2 linked regions of the Diceros bicornis minor genome follow. The protein of the gene in region 1 interacts with the protein of each later gene in a biochemical or structural test. Links are inferred from orthologs where the notes say so. Each region holds a gene or a part of one and is shown in the gene's direction. Other genes may lie near its edges. The genes, in order: MC4R and POMC.

Region 1 (6,162 bases):
CTCAAAATGTTCCCTGATAAATCCTTCAAATTTGGAGCAAATCTGCATTTTCAAAACAAGCATTATAGCAGAACTGAGCGTAATAGCTACTTGAAAAATAAACGTAGGAGAAGGTAGGTTCTATATCCAAATAAGCTTACGAAATAAGTGGATTAAGCAATACTGAATTTTTTCTAGTAAGAAATTTCAGAAATTTTATATGCTAACGTAAACTCTGAAACTTCCAGAAGGCAATGAGTTTGCAATATTTTCCAAAATGATTTGACCTTGGAATCTCCCCTTTTATTCTATGGTGGAAAAAACATTAACATCTCCTAAAAATAGTATTCCATGTAAAACAGTTTGATAAATACTTCTCTTTAGTAATGTTTCATATTTATTGTTATAAAATATAAAACAAGGATTTTGCTCATAAGAGAAACATATTATGATCTTACTCAATTTTGTGTGTATTAAAAAAAGAAATCTGCAATAAATTTTTGAAAATACCATTAACGTGTCTAACATTGCTGGCTGTATTTCTTCTGGCTCACAGTGAACTAAATTACGGCAGACAATTAAAATGCTTCCTTGGACATGACAAAATGTCACCTTTTCAGTGTGATTAACCATACAATCAAGGTTTTATAAATCTACACCAAATAATTAAATTTGAGATTTTAAATATACATGGTTTTCTTGGATTTCAGTATGGTCATAATGTCTGTAAATAAAATTCTTTTTTTTGTGAAAAGCTAAAAGAAAGAGAGTTTTGTTTTCACTTTACTAATTCTATCTAATATATAATTATATATATATATTATATAATATACCTATTAATAAGTTTTACAAAACAAGGATGATTGTGCATTCACAAATATAGGGGAAGAGCATTCCAAGTAGAGGGAATAGTGTAAATTCATGGGAAAATCTCTAGTGTGCATGGGGTATTGCATGCAAGTTTGACTGCAATGAAGTTTCTGTGAAGGAGAATAACGAGAAGTGAGTTTGGTAAGGAGGAAAAGAGGAGCAAGACAAATGGTAGAATTGAAGGTATTTTACAAGTGATTGCATGTAGGGATTTTTGAGAAAGATGGATAAGTCAAAGATACTCTGAATTTTAGGTCTAAGCAAATGGAATGATTATGCCACAAGAGAAGTAGGGAGCAGCACAAAGTCAAGGGTTGACTCAGGAAGGTTATACAGAGTTGACTATCTGATGCTTAAACAATTCAATAGATTTCTTCCCTATTGTTTATTTATTAGGTAATTCACTTCTCATACAAATCCAAAATGGGGAAAAGAAAGGATTTGTATGTAATATGGGTTTGTGCTTGTAAATAGCTCCATAAAAAATTTGAAAGTCAAGGTAATTACGCTAGTTGCTGTGATAAGTGAATATCAATATTTCAGCAGCTTAACAGTAATATTTGTTGCTTGCTCATACCACAGTTCAACGTAGTTGGTGGGCTAGGGTGTGGTGGGAGTTGGGGATGTGAGTTCTGTTCTGTGCAGTTATTCAGAGACCCAGCCTTCTTCCATGATATGGCTCTGCCATCTATGACATGAGTCTTCAAAGACATTCTGCAGTCATCTACTAATAGGAGAGAAAATGTGTAGAATCATGAGGGAGATAACATAATGCACATCACTTCTACCCACATTCCATTAGTAGAATTCAGTCATAAGGCCTCATCTAATTCCAGGGATGGATAGAAGATGCTGATTTAGCTCAATGCTCAGGAATAATACTTAGCACTATCTCTGTCACAAAAGGGAAAGAAAATAAAAGCATTATCTCTGTCACAAAAGGGAAAGAAAATAAAACCCTTACCTAAATAATTGAGAACTTTAAGCCTGAAATACTTCTCTCTTATTGTCCCTATTATTAGTAGCCACAGCTAAAACCAAATTAGTAGTCAGCTAAAACCAAAAATAGTCATAGCAAGAAAAGGATACTACATACACTTTAAAACCAGGAGTTTAATTAATTTGAATAGTAACTTTGCCACAATCTTTCAAACTTAGCTTAAGCAAAACACTCAGAAACTGATAAATAACTAGCATCTACTTTTCTTGGCTTGAATAAGTAAAGTTGCCAAGATATGTGTGGATTTAATTTACAAAGCCTTCAATTATGGAGGTAGATTGGCTGCCTTAAAAAACAAAAACAAAACTGAGTTCCAATTTCTCCCCATCTTTGCCAACACTTGTTATCTTTTGTTTTTTTGATAATACTCATCCTAACAAGAGTGAGGTAATATCTCCCTGTGGCTTTGATCTGCATTTCCCTGATGATTAGTGACATTGAGCACCTTTTCATGTACCGGTGGCCATTTGTATGTCTTCTTTGGCGAAATGTCTATTCAAGTCCTTTTCCCATTTTTAAATCAGATTTGTTTTGTTTTGTTTGCTACTCAGTTGTAGGAGATTCTTACATATTTTCGATATTAACCTCTTATCAGATTGACGGTTTGCAAATATTTTCTCCCATTCTGTAGGTTGCCTTTTTACTCCGCTGATTATTTCCTTTGCTGTTCAGAAGCTTTTTAATTTGATGTAATCCAGCTTGTCTATTTTTGGTTTTGTTGCCTGATTTTGGTGTTAAATCCAAGAAATCATCACCAAGACCATTGTCAAGGAATTGTTGGCTGATGGGTATAAAGTTTCAGTTTTGCAGATGAATAAGTTCTAGAGATCTACTGTACAACATAGTTCCTATAATTAACAACCTGGTATTTGCACTTTAAAATATGTTAAGAGTATAACTCTTATGTTAAACGTTCTTACCACAAAATAAAAAGAAAAGAAAACACAAAAGAATATAAATAAATTTTTGAAGGTGATGAATATGTTTAGTACGTTGATTATGGTTGAGACAGGAATCAGCCTAATGAGACAGGGACATCTGCAAAGCCCCTGGCCTAATAAGACAGGGCCCCTAACTAATGAGCAAGCTAAGAGAATCAGATAGAGGCCACCAAGATCCACATTCTACAGCCTCCCGACTCTCCCTGGCTTACGCACGTGCCCTAGCACCCAAGAGTCCACTGAAGGTGACCCTAGCCCCATTACCATACTAAAAATCCCCCCAGGAGGAGAGCAAGCATGCTAATGATATATGCATCGCACATAATCGCATGCTACCAGACAGTGCCAGCGGAAGCACAACCCCACCTCTACATGCCATGACGGAAGACACATCCCCTCCGCCATCCTGATAAAAACCCAACACAGTGTGGCTCTTCGGGAAGCCAGCTGCCTCTCTCCCTCTCCTTTCTTGCCTTTTCGTGGTTGGCTCTCTTGTGCACAAGCTAATAAATTTTCTATCATCTCACTCTTGCTCTTTCTTGATTTCTATCCTGGGGGACAACAAGAACCCAGGATGCTGGCAACACGATGATGGCGTATGCACACGTCCAAACTCATTAAAATCTCTACATTAAATATGCACATTTTTTGTATATCAATTATATCTCAGTAAAGGTTAAAAAACTGAGTGTTTAATTATTGATCTTTTTCTTTCTGAGTTCAGAGTAAATATAGCTTACATTAATGCTGTCTGGTTTTTAAATATTGTGAATGAAAATAAAACTTTTCCAGCTATAATAACAGAAACCACAATGGAGAAATATCAGATATCAGTACCTAAGAAATGAACCCCTTCTTGAACCCTTTGGTAAATTGTAGCTACCTACATAGTTCTTCCATCCGTAGCATAGTCTACCTGTATTATCAAATATTCTCTCTGTGTTTCAGGTATTTTAAATTGAAGCATTACTGCCTGGATTCTTAATCAAAGAAACTGAGAGAGTAAATAAATTCAACATCCTAGCCGAAAAGGTAGTGTATCTGTTTCAGGGACACACACACACACACACACACACACACAGCTCTTTTAAGTAGGAATAAGCCTGGGTGCCTCAAGATGGCTCATTGTGATATCAAAGAATGTCCTCTATGGACCAAATTGTCTTCCTGGAAAACTTGAAAAGGCACAGTCAGTCTCTCTCATTCTGCTCGCTTCCCGATCCCCCAAGCTTCTGCATGTGAATCAGTGTTGCCCTGCAGTTTGTGTCTCTGGAACATCACCGTTGTCTCACAGACTTCCACGGCACTGGGATTGGTCGGAAGGAAGCAGAGGAGGAGCCACTCTGAGCATTTTTTTTCCCTCCACACACCATAAAATCGGCAGCAGCTACTAACACTCAAAGCAACGCTTCAGGTTGGGAACTAATACCTCTGAGCGGCAGCTGAAGGGAGCATGTGCACACAGATTCGTCTCCCATGGCACAGCAGCTCCTAGGAAAATTACTTTGAAAAGACCTGAATGCATAAGACTAAAGTTAAAGTAGAAGTGAGAACGAAAAAGCAAACAGCAGACTCTTTCGACTGAGAATGAGCATTTTGAAGCCTAAGATTTGAAAGTGGCGGTGATCAGAGCAATACCTGAAAGAGACTAAGAACTCCATTTCAAGCTTCTCAGCATGTGACATTTACTCACCACAGGCATGCCAATCTTAGCCTCATAACTTTCAGCCAGATAAAGACGTGGAGAAAATCACTGTGGCTACCTGACCCAGGAGGTTGAATCAATTCAGAGGGGATTTGAATCCATTTGGCGCAGGATGAACTCTACTCATCGCCATGGAATGCACACTTCTCTCCACTTCTGGAACCGCAGCACCTATGGACTGCACAGCAATGCCAGTGAGTCCCTTGGAAAAGGCTACTCTGACGGAGGGTGCTACGAGCAACTTTTTGTCTCTCCTGAGGTGTTTGTGACTCTGGGTGTCATCAGTTTGTTGGAGAATATTCTGGTGATTGTGGCAATAGCCAAGAACAAGAATCTGCATTCGCCCATGTACTTTTTCATCTGTAGCCTGGCTGTGGCTGATATGTTGGTGAGCGTTTCAAACGGATCAGAAACCATTGTCATCACCCTGTTAAACAGTACAGATACGGACGCACAGAGTTTCACAGTGAATATTGATAATGTCATTGACTCAGTGATCTGTAGCTCCTTGCTTGCATCAATTTGCAGCCTGCTTTCAATTGCAGTGGACAGGTATTTTACTATATTTTATGCTCTCCAGTACCATAACATTATGACTGTTAAGCGGGTTGGGATCATCATAAGTTGTATCTGGGCGGCTTGCACGGTTTCGGGCATTTTGTTCATCATTTACTCAGATAGCAGTGCTGTTATCATCTGCCTCATCACCATGTTCTTCACCATGCTGGCTCTCATGGCTTCTCTCTATGTCCACATGTTCCTCATGGCCAGACTTCACATTAAGAGGATCGCTGTCCTCCCAGGCACAGGCACTATCCGCCAAGGTGCCAACATGAAGGGGGCGATAACCTTGACCATATTGATTGGAGTCTTTGTGGTCTGCTGGGCCCCATTCTTCCTCCACTTAATATTCTACATCTCTTGTCCCCAGAATCCATACTGTGTGTGCTTCATGTCTCACTTTAACTTGTATCTCATACTGATCATGTGTAACTCCATCATTGATCCTCTGATATACGCACTCCGGAGCCAAGAACTCAGGAAAACCTTCAAAGAGATCATCTGTTGCTACCCTCTAGGAGGCCTTTGTGATTTGTCCAGCAGATACTAAATGGGGACAGAGGAGATGCTAAAAACATGCATAAGAGACTCTTTCATTCCTATACAACCTGAACAGTGTGCTTCAGCAAGTTTTTTCTTCTGTGTAGGGCACTGGTTGAAAACATCTATTGTATAAATTTAAGTTTATGATTTTTCATATGAAAAATGCCCAGTCTGTGTATTTTTAATGTCATGCTACGTTTTGGCTGTAAAATGTTAATCCATATTACAGGTTGTAGGCACTATGCATTTACAAAAAAGATAAAGGTCCTTATTAAAAGCTTAACAATGTCTCTTTCTTGTTATTCATAAAGATTTGACACTTTGCTTGTTTTAGGAACACGGAAATCACAGTCTCATTAAATATGTTCTAATAAATGGTTTCTTACATTACACTATACAACATTAAAGTAAAGGATTTGATTCTAGCATTTAAGGGGGAAATATTGAAGAATAGATGCTTAATCATTAAGAAAATAAGCTGAAATTTCAAGTAATTTAATAAAACTTGTTCATTCTCCCTATATAGAAGTAGAAATGAAGCTCCTATTGAGAGAAAAGGAGCT
Region 2 (6,963 bases), on another chromosome or scaffold:
CAGGGGGATTGTGAGTCCCGGTTACTTCTTCACATCAGTTTCCAAAAGTTGGGGAAATCTGAGGCATCACAGACGTACTGCCTCTGCGGTGATATTTACCTCTAAATGCCAATGAGGCAGATGCCAGCCCAAGCGCGCACACAGGTAACTTCACCCTCTTCTCAACGACCTCAGCAGGCACGCCAGGCCTGCGCCACACTGGGGTGCTAAGCCTCCCGCTCGTCCTAACTGGAGACCCAACACCGTCCTTAATTAAGTTCTTTCCTGAAGGTGCCAGGTGCGCCCTTTAGCCGGACAGTGCTAATTCCAGCCTCCGGGGGCAGAGATCCAGCCTCCTTTCCAGGCACGTCTGCCCTTGCGCTCAACCCCTACCTGGAAACCCCCCTCACCATGGCCCCCCTTCCCATGGACGGGGGAGTTGCTTGTTACGCTGCCCTGCCGGGAAGTTCTCGTTTAGCGCCCCACACGGGCGAGCCCCGTAGGTATATAAAGACAGAAGAGAGCGACCAGGACCAGACGGCGGCGAAGGAGGAGAAAGAGCGGAAGAAAAGTGACCGAGAGAGGCCGCCGAGCATCCTTGCCCCGGCGCAGCGGGAGTCGCCCAGAGAGCAGCCTCCCCGCGGCAGGTAAGGGCGCCCCGGCGCGGAACCTAGCTCTCCCCCCGGGACCCCCTGCCCTGGGGCCTCGGGATGCTCTCGTCCAGCTCCCATAGCGGACTCGAGGCGCCGTTGCCTCGCTTCGGTCCTGAGCTCTTTGAAAACTTTCTGCACTGAGTGCGGCGTGGGAAGCCGCCCGCAGCGGAGCGGCGAGGGCCAGCCTCCGGCCGGTGAGCGAACGGCTGCCACGCTGGAGATGGTGCTTCCCGGAGCTGGCGGCCGCGCCTCCTCCGGGGAGTGGGGCTGCTAGAACCCCTGAGACTCCTACCGCCTTCTGGGGAGAGCCCGGTCTTTTGGCTCCTCTTCCTCTCTATTTCCTGGGGAGGTGTCACTTCTTAAAGGACACCATATAACTCTGGCGCAAATTAACGTTGGAAAGGGGGCAGGAGAGAAAAGGCTAAAAGTCACAATAAACTCCCTGCATTCCAGACTTTTTGGGATTCAGACCCCAGAATCCTCGTTTTTCTGCCCACCTTAGAGCACTCGACGTGGCTGCGCCACGGTAGCGACACGGGTCTCCCAGCTGGGGCAAAAAAGAGGACGCCCAGTCGGGAACTGTCCAAGGTCCTGAAACGCCATGTCGGTGCCCTCCATAGGACTGCAGAGTGCACTTCCCATCCCGCAGACCCTAGGCCGCAGGGCGGCAGCAGCCGTTTGAGCTGACAGAGGCTCAGGCAAGGGGGGGTCTCCAGGGAAGAAGGGAGAGTCTGCAGGGCATTTGGATCCCCCAAATTCTTCGGTATAAGTGGGAAGGTGGTTGTTCTCAAGGAATGGCTGGAAGGAGCCAAGGAAAGTAAAAGCGTGCATTTGTTTTGTCAACTGTGAAGATATGCACAGATTATGGCTTATTTAAGGAGTTAATATTCCTTTGACACTTTTGTTTTAGGACTTGATGCACGTGTATCATGGTGCAAGGACAAAACCCCGTGCCTCTGCTCCTCTAATCTTTACAGAAGGGCATGGCCAGTGAGCAATGTGAGAGTAACAAACAAAATGTTTTGTTTAGCTCATAGAGAATTCACCTACACATATGAAGTTCTAATAAATGTAGTTGTATTATAAAGTTAATGTCAAGATTAACAAATTACAAATTTCTATTTGTTTTTCTAAGGCTTTCAATTATTGGGTTGTAACACTCTCCTTACCCTCAAAAAGCACAGCTTTTGACATTTCCTGGTTACATTACTGCTTTAAAAAAAGGACACAAGGTAATATCTCTTCATTGTAGAAAAATAGAAAATACACAAAAGCAAAAAGAAAACAAGTTGCTTTCAGGAAACTATCTAACTTTTTAGCCAGAGAATGGAGCTCTGAGAGGGTGGGGAGTGAGAATGTTACCATGTTGTGCAACACAGCCAATGCAGCAGAAGAAGAGGAAATGCTCTCTGGGGCTTTTCAGAAAGCCCTGAACACATGAGGTAGGTTTTTAGAAAAAGATCATTCTGGAATGGCCAATCTTGAGGAGAATTTAAATATAGTTGAGAGAACTGTCAGACCTGTATGATTCTACTTCTTTCTCTACTAATATGTTCTTTTACACTTGCCCACAGTGATATATAACTACCATTTTTCTGCTTCTCTTGTAAATCTGGGCATTTTTCTGTGCTGTGTGGTCTCAGAGCTTTAATGTAAATTGCCTTGTCCACCAAGTTCAGGCTTCATACTTGAACTGGAGCATCAAAAGGCTACAACAGGAGCAGCCTGTCCCCCATCATGACTGGACATTACGATTTGACCAGTGCTCTCTCAGTTGCCCCTTCAGCCTGAGATACTGATGGGCCAGCTCACTGGCTGCCAGTGCCATCTAATGGCTGCTCTGAAAATAGGCAGTGCCTGGCAACCATTCAGAAGGGAGCCCTGAGCTGGCTCAGCTTTTGGGGAAAGGAGTGGGGGTGTGGCAGAGAGAAGGAAGTGGCTTCCTGAAGTAGACAATGAGAACCAAGGAGAGCTTTCACTTCTAAAGCCTTCCCTATAAAAAAGATTTGGCCCATGCCTCCACAAATGCGAGATTTCTTTAAGTAAACATTTTAAAATGCAAATGTCCACTAGGAGAGACAATTAGTCACCTACATCTTAATGTAAATTACTTTTATCATCTAATTAGGTTTCTTCCTAACAGCTGGTTGAGAAGATCTTCTAAAATCCAAAATGATTGTGGGGTTGGTGGCGAGCTCATGACAGAACTCAGGGTCACTTCAGGGGGCTGACCTGGGTGAGGGGGGACATGGCAGCATGAGAGCTAGAGGGCTGGGGAAAGGGTTGGGCACAGGGGGCAAAGGGCAGCATTGGCTCCACTCTTTACCGCATCTTGACCTCTTGGCCTCAGCATCTGCCCAGAGGTACTTCCTGACTTCTCCACAAGGGGAAGTAGTTCCCTTCTGCTCTGTCTGTCCATCTCCTTCCCTTCTACACCTACAGCATCTTCAAGTCCAGCTATTTAGGACTACATTTGAGAGACTCAGAGAACAAGAGGTCTGACATGTAATATGTTCAGAAGATGAGCCAGTTTTAAAAGAATGGGGGTGTGCTTTACAAGTAAATCTCTCCAAAGATGCCGGGGTGTGGGAGATAGTGATCATTTGTGGGGTTTGTGTACAGGACATCAAATTGGGTTGGCTGTGGTTTTGGCTAAGTTGGCCAGAGGTTTTATTTGTGCTTATGCAAACCTACTATTCATAGGAAATAAGAGTTTCTGAGGAATGATAGGATCCTGGTGGAGGCGGAGGGAAAAGACCATCGAGCAGGAGCTTCAGAATCCTTTGTCTTTCCCAAGTTACTCCTTGGTTCTGGAGTGTTAGAACTATAGCTTCATGTAGGTGGTGAAATAGGAAAGCTCCGTGCTAGTAAAAGGAGAAATTAGCCTCACCTTGTCATGAACACCCAAGTTATTGTCTCTCTCTGGGCCTCAGTTTCCCCATCTCTTAAACAACGGGCTGGACCAAATGACCCCCAAAATAGCTTCCAGCCCTATCTCCTTTCAGATCTGATTTTTAACAGGAGATAAAGGGGAAATTCCACATAGTTCACCCAGGTCCCACTCCCCTCCGCTCTACCACAACTCACACCACCACTCTGCACACCAACCTTCTCCTTGAACTGCTCCTGTCCTCAAAAAGCCTTGAGCTCCACAAATGAGTGTGTTGTTAATGTTGGCTCACAGTCCTTCCTGGTGAGTGACCAACATTGTTCTGCTCCTTGCAGGGGTCCCACCAATCTTGTTTGCCTCCGCAGAGCCTCAGCCTGCCTGCAAGATGCCGAGACAACGCGGCAGCCGCTCGGGGGCTCTGATGCTGGCCCTGCTGCTTCAGGCCTCCGTGGAAGTGCGTGGCTGGTGCCTGGAGACCAGCCAGTGTCAGGACCTCACCACGGAAAGTAACCTGCTGGTATGTGGGCCATGGCTGCCATCTTGTTTGGGCATCAGGTGGGACTGGGGCTGGGGTTGGGACAGCACAAAAGAAAGGGGTTTGGATTCATTCCCAGAGATACTCAACCCAGGGCAGGAACAGATCTCTAGGGTGAAGTCAGAATTGGGTCAAGGAGGGGAGGAAGCAGCTTCAGGAAGCAGGACCAGATGGGTCTGGTCCACAATTTTGGCTTGATTATCTTTGCTTCCTGCCCTGTCTCCTTGTATGGGGACACTACTCCATTTAAGCTATTTAGAGATAGTGCCATAAAAATAATAATAACAATACTAATAACAGTAATAACAATAATTGCTCCCTCAATTGATCCTACATTTTCAATCTTTTAGCCTCCAAATTATTCGTTTTTAAATAACCTCATATCACTTGCCATCTGCATTCCACTTTTCTTCCCTTTTTATCTACTACCAGTTACAACCCCAGCGAGGTAGTACCACAAATCATCTCTAAAGGGAGAAGGAAAAACCCAGGTGCCATTTTCCTCTAACTGGTGCCCAATGGCTCATGCTTCTTCTGGAGGACTGACCTCCTGCAGCCTTTCCAGAAGCATGTAAAGGCCCGTTGTGCCAGGTTGGAACTCCCGCGAGGTTACCACAGGGTGTGTGTGTGTGTGTGTGTATTGGGAGGCATAAATGAGAAATGATACCAAGCAAGGACTAAAAGACACACTGCTGGTGTTGGTGAGCGCGTTCCACCCTGCTGCCAGCACCTGCGTAGTGAAGATGGAACGCACATCACTACCTTCTGTGTTTTGTCAATGGAGAAGCTGAGTTAAGGTGAAGAGAGACTTTCTCAAAAACACAGAGCAGTTTGCATGTGGAATACAAAATAGAAACAATGATCTCAGGGAATTCTGTGAGTTCTAGTTCAGAGAGATGCAAGAGGCTCTTGACTGGAGACACCCACTGCACAACGTCTCCTGAGAGCTCACCAGGGAAAGAGCACAGCCATCATCAGAGCCCATGGGTTCTAGTCTCAGTCCTGTGAGCTACGGAACCTTGCCAAGGTCCTTTCACCTCTCTGAGCTCTCCTGTGTCCAGGGGAGAGGAGTATGAAATACTTCTTATTTTCCACTGTTAATATTCTGCAGTGTTAGAATTCTAAGTTCCCAGAGTATGAAATTCCCAACTCAAGAGTGGGTGGGATGCTTCTGTTTCCTCCTTTGCAGTCTTGAGTAATTGAAAACTCAAGGCTGCAGCGTATAGGTCATTTTCCTAAGCAAATGTTTACCACAGCTGAGTTGTCTAGTTACAGAGAGCAGAGACACGCACTCCATGACCCGTGCAATGGAAATAATCCTGGCTTTCTATCCCTCCCTCCAGTCAGAATGAGATGACAGGGAAGCGAAACCCCCTCCCAAAGCTCACTGATTGGGGAAAGTACAGGATCAGCTCAGAAGTCTTGAAAGAACCAGAGAAAGTGCCAGATGGACATGGGAAAGTTTTGAAGCATGGTACAAGGAGATAGCTGGGGTAGGGCATGGGGTAGGTTTGCAGATCGCTGGGGTAGGGTTGAGGCATTATTGAAAATACAGGCCCTAGAAGCCAGACTTGTACTTCTCCCACCTGGGGAGATTCTACCCCAAATTTCAGCCCAATGTCCTTCCCAGACTCAAACTGAACCAAATATATTTATTCAATATTCATTAAGTCCCAACGACTAACACCCACCCGCCATTTATTAATTCCTATATATCAGACGTATAACGGGAAGACGGTGACCCTGCTCGCAAAAGCTATGGGACAAGTAAACCAAGGAGTGGCATGGGGTTTTTGCTGCAGCTGCCAGGCAGAAGTGTCAAGGGGTACAGGGACAAAGCAGGCGATGCCCAAGCTGAGTCTCAGGTGTCCGTGGGGGCCAAGAGGACGAGGAGGGCAGGCGTCCCCGGGAGCGAGGGCCGCACGTGGTGACGGTCGCGGGGCACTGGAGGCGCGGAGGGCGCAGGCGCAGCGCGGAGGGCGTGCTGGGGGGGCTGCCGGCGCGCGGCCCTCACTCGCCCGGCTCTCCCGCAGGCGTGCATCCGGGCCTGCAGGCCCGACCCCTCGGCCGAGACGCCCGTGTTCCCCGGCAACGGCGACGAGCAGCCGCCGACCGAGAACCCCCGGAAGTACGTCATGGGCCACTTCCGCTGGGACCGCTTCGGCCGCCGGAACAGCAGCGGCGGCGGCGGCGCGGGCCAGAAGCGCGAGGAGGAGGCGGTGGTGCTGGTGGGCCGCCCCGCGCCCCGCGGCGATGGCGGCGAGCCGGGCCCGCGCGAGGGCAAGCGCTCCTACTCCATGGAGCACTTCCGCTGGGGCAAGCCGGTGGGCAAGAAGCGGCGCCCGGTGAAGGTGTACCCCAACGGCGCCGAGGACGAGTCGGCCGAGGCCTTCCCCTTGGAGTTCAAGCGGGAGCTGGCCGGGGAGCGGCCCGAGCCCGCGGCGGCCCCGGCCGGCCTGGAGTACAGCCTGGTGGCGGAGGCCGAGGCGGCCGAGAAGAAGGACGAGGGGCCCTATAAGATGGAGCACTTCCGCTGGGGCAGCCCGCCCAAGGACAAGCGCTACGGCGGCTTCATGAGCTCCGAGAAGAGCCAGACGCCCCTGGTGACGCTGTTCAAAAACGCCATCAAGAACGCCCACAAGAAGGGCCAGTGAGGGCGCAGCGGGCGAGGGGCTTCTCTCCCCAGGGAGTCGGCCCTACGCCCCGCTCCTCGCCTGCCTCCTGCCGCCTCGCAGCCTGGGTGTGCTGTTTGCTCGGGCCGTGATAGCGGCAGATGCTCGGCCTCTTCCCGCCGTGTGTAGTTAGGAAATAAAACCCTTCCAGTTTCACATCTGACTCTGACTTTGAATGTCGACTGGGTGAATAAAGTAAAAATACATATCCATCAGATAAAGAGCAAAAGATAT

The links.
Region 2: the proteins of MC4R (region 1) and POMC form a complex in vitro, tested with the Homo sapiens proteins (2 studies listed by BioGRID). The link is inferred for Diceros bicornis minor from reciprocal best matches to the Homo sapiens genes MC4R and POMC.

Annotation. Positions count from the first base shown.
Region 1 is NC_080755.1:51,340,011-51,346,172, reverse strand, and holds MC4R (melanocortin receptor 4), read left to right. Parts: upstream 1-4,607; coding exon 4,608-5,606; downstream 5,607-6,162.
Region 2 is NC_080751.1:57,386,893-57,393,855, forward strand, and holds the start of POMC (pro-opiomelanocortin), read left to right. Parts: upstream 1-3,907; coding exon 3,908-4,039; intron 4,040-6,090; coding exon 6,091-6,711; 3' UTR 6,712-6,963.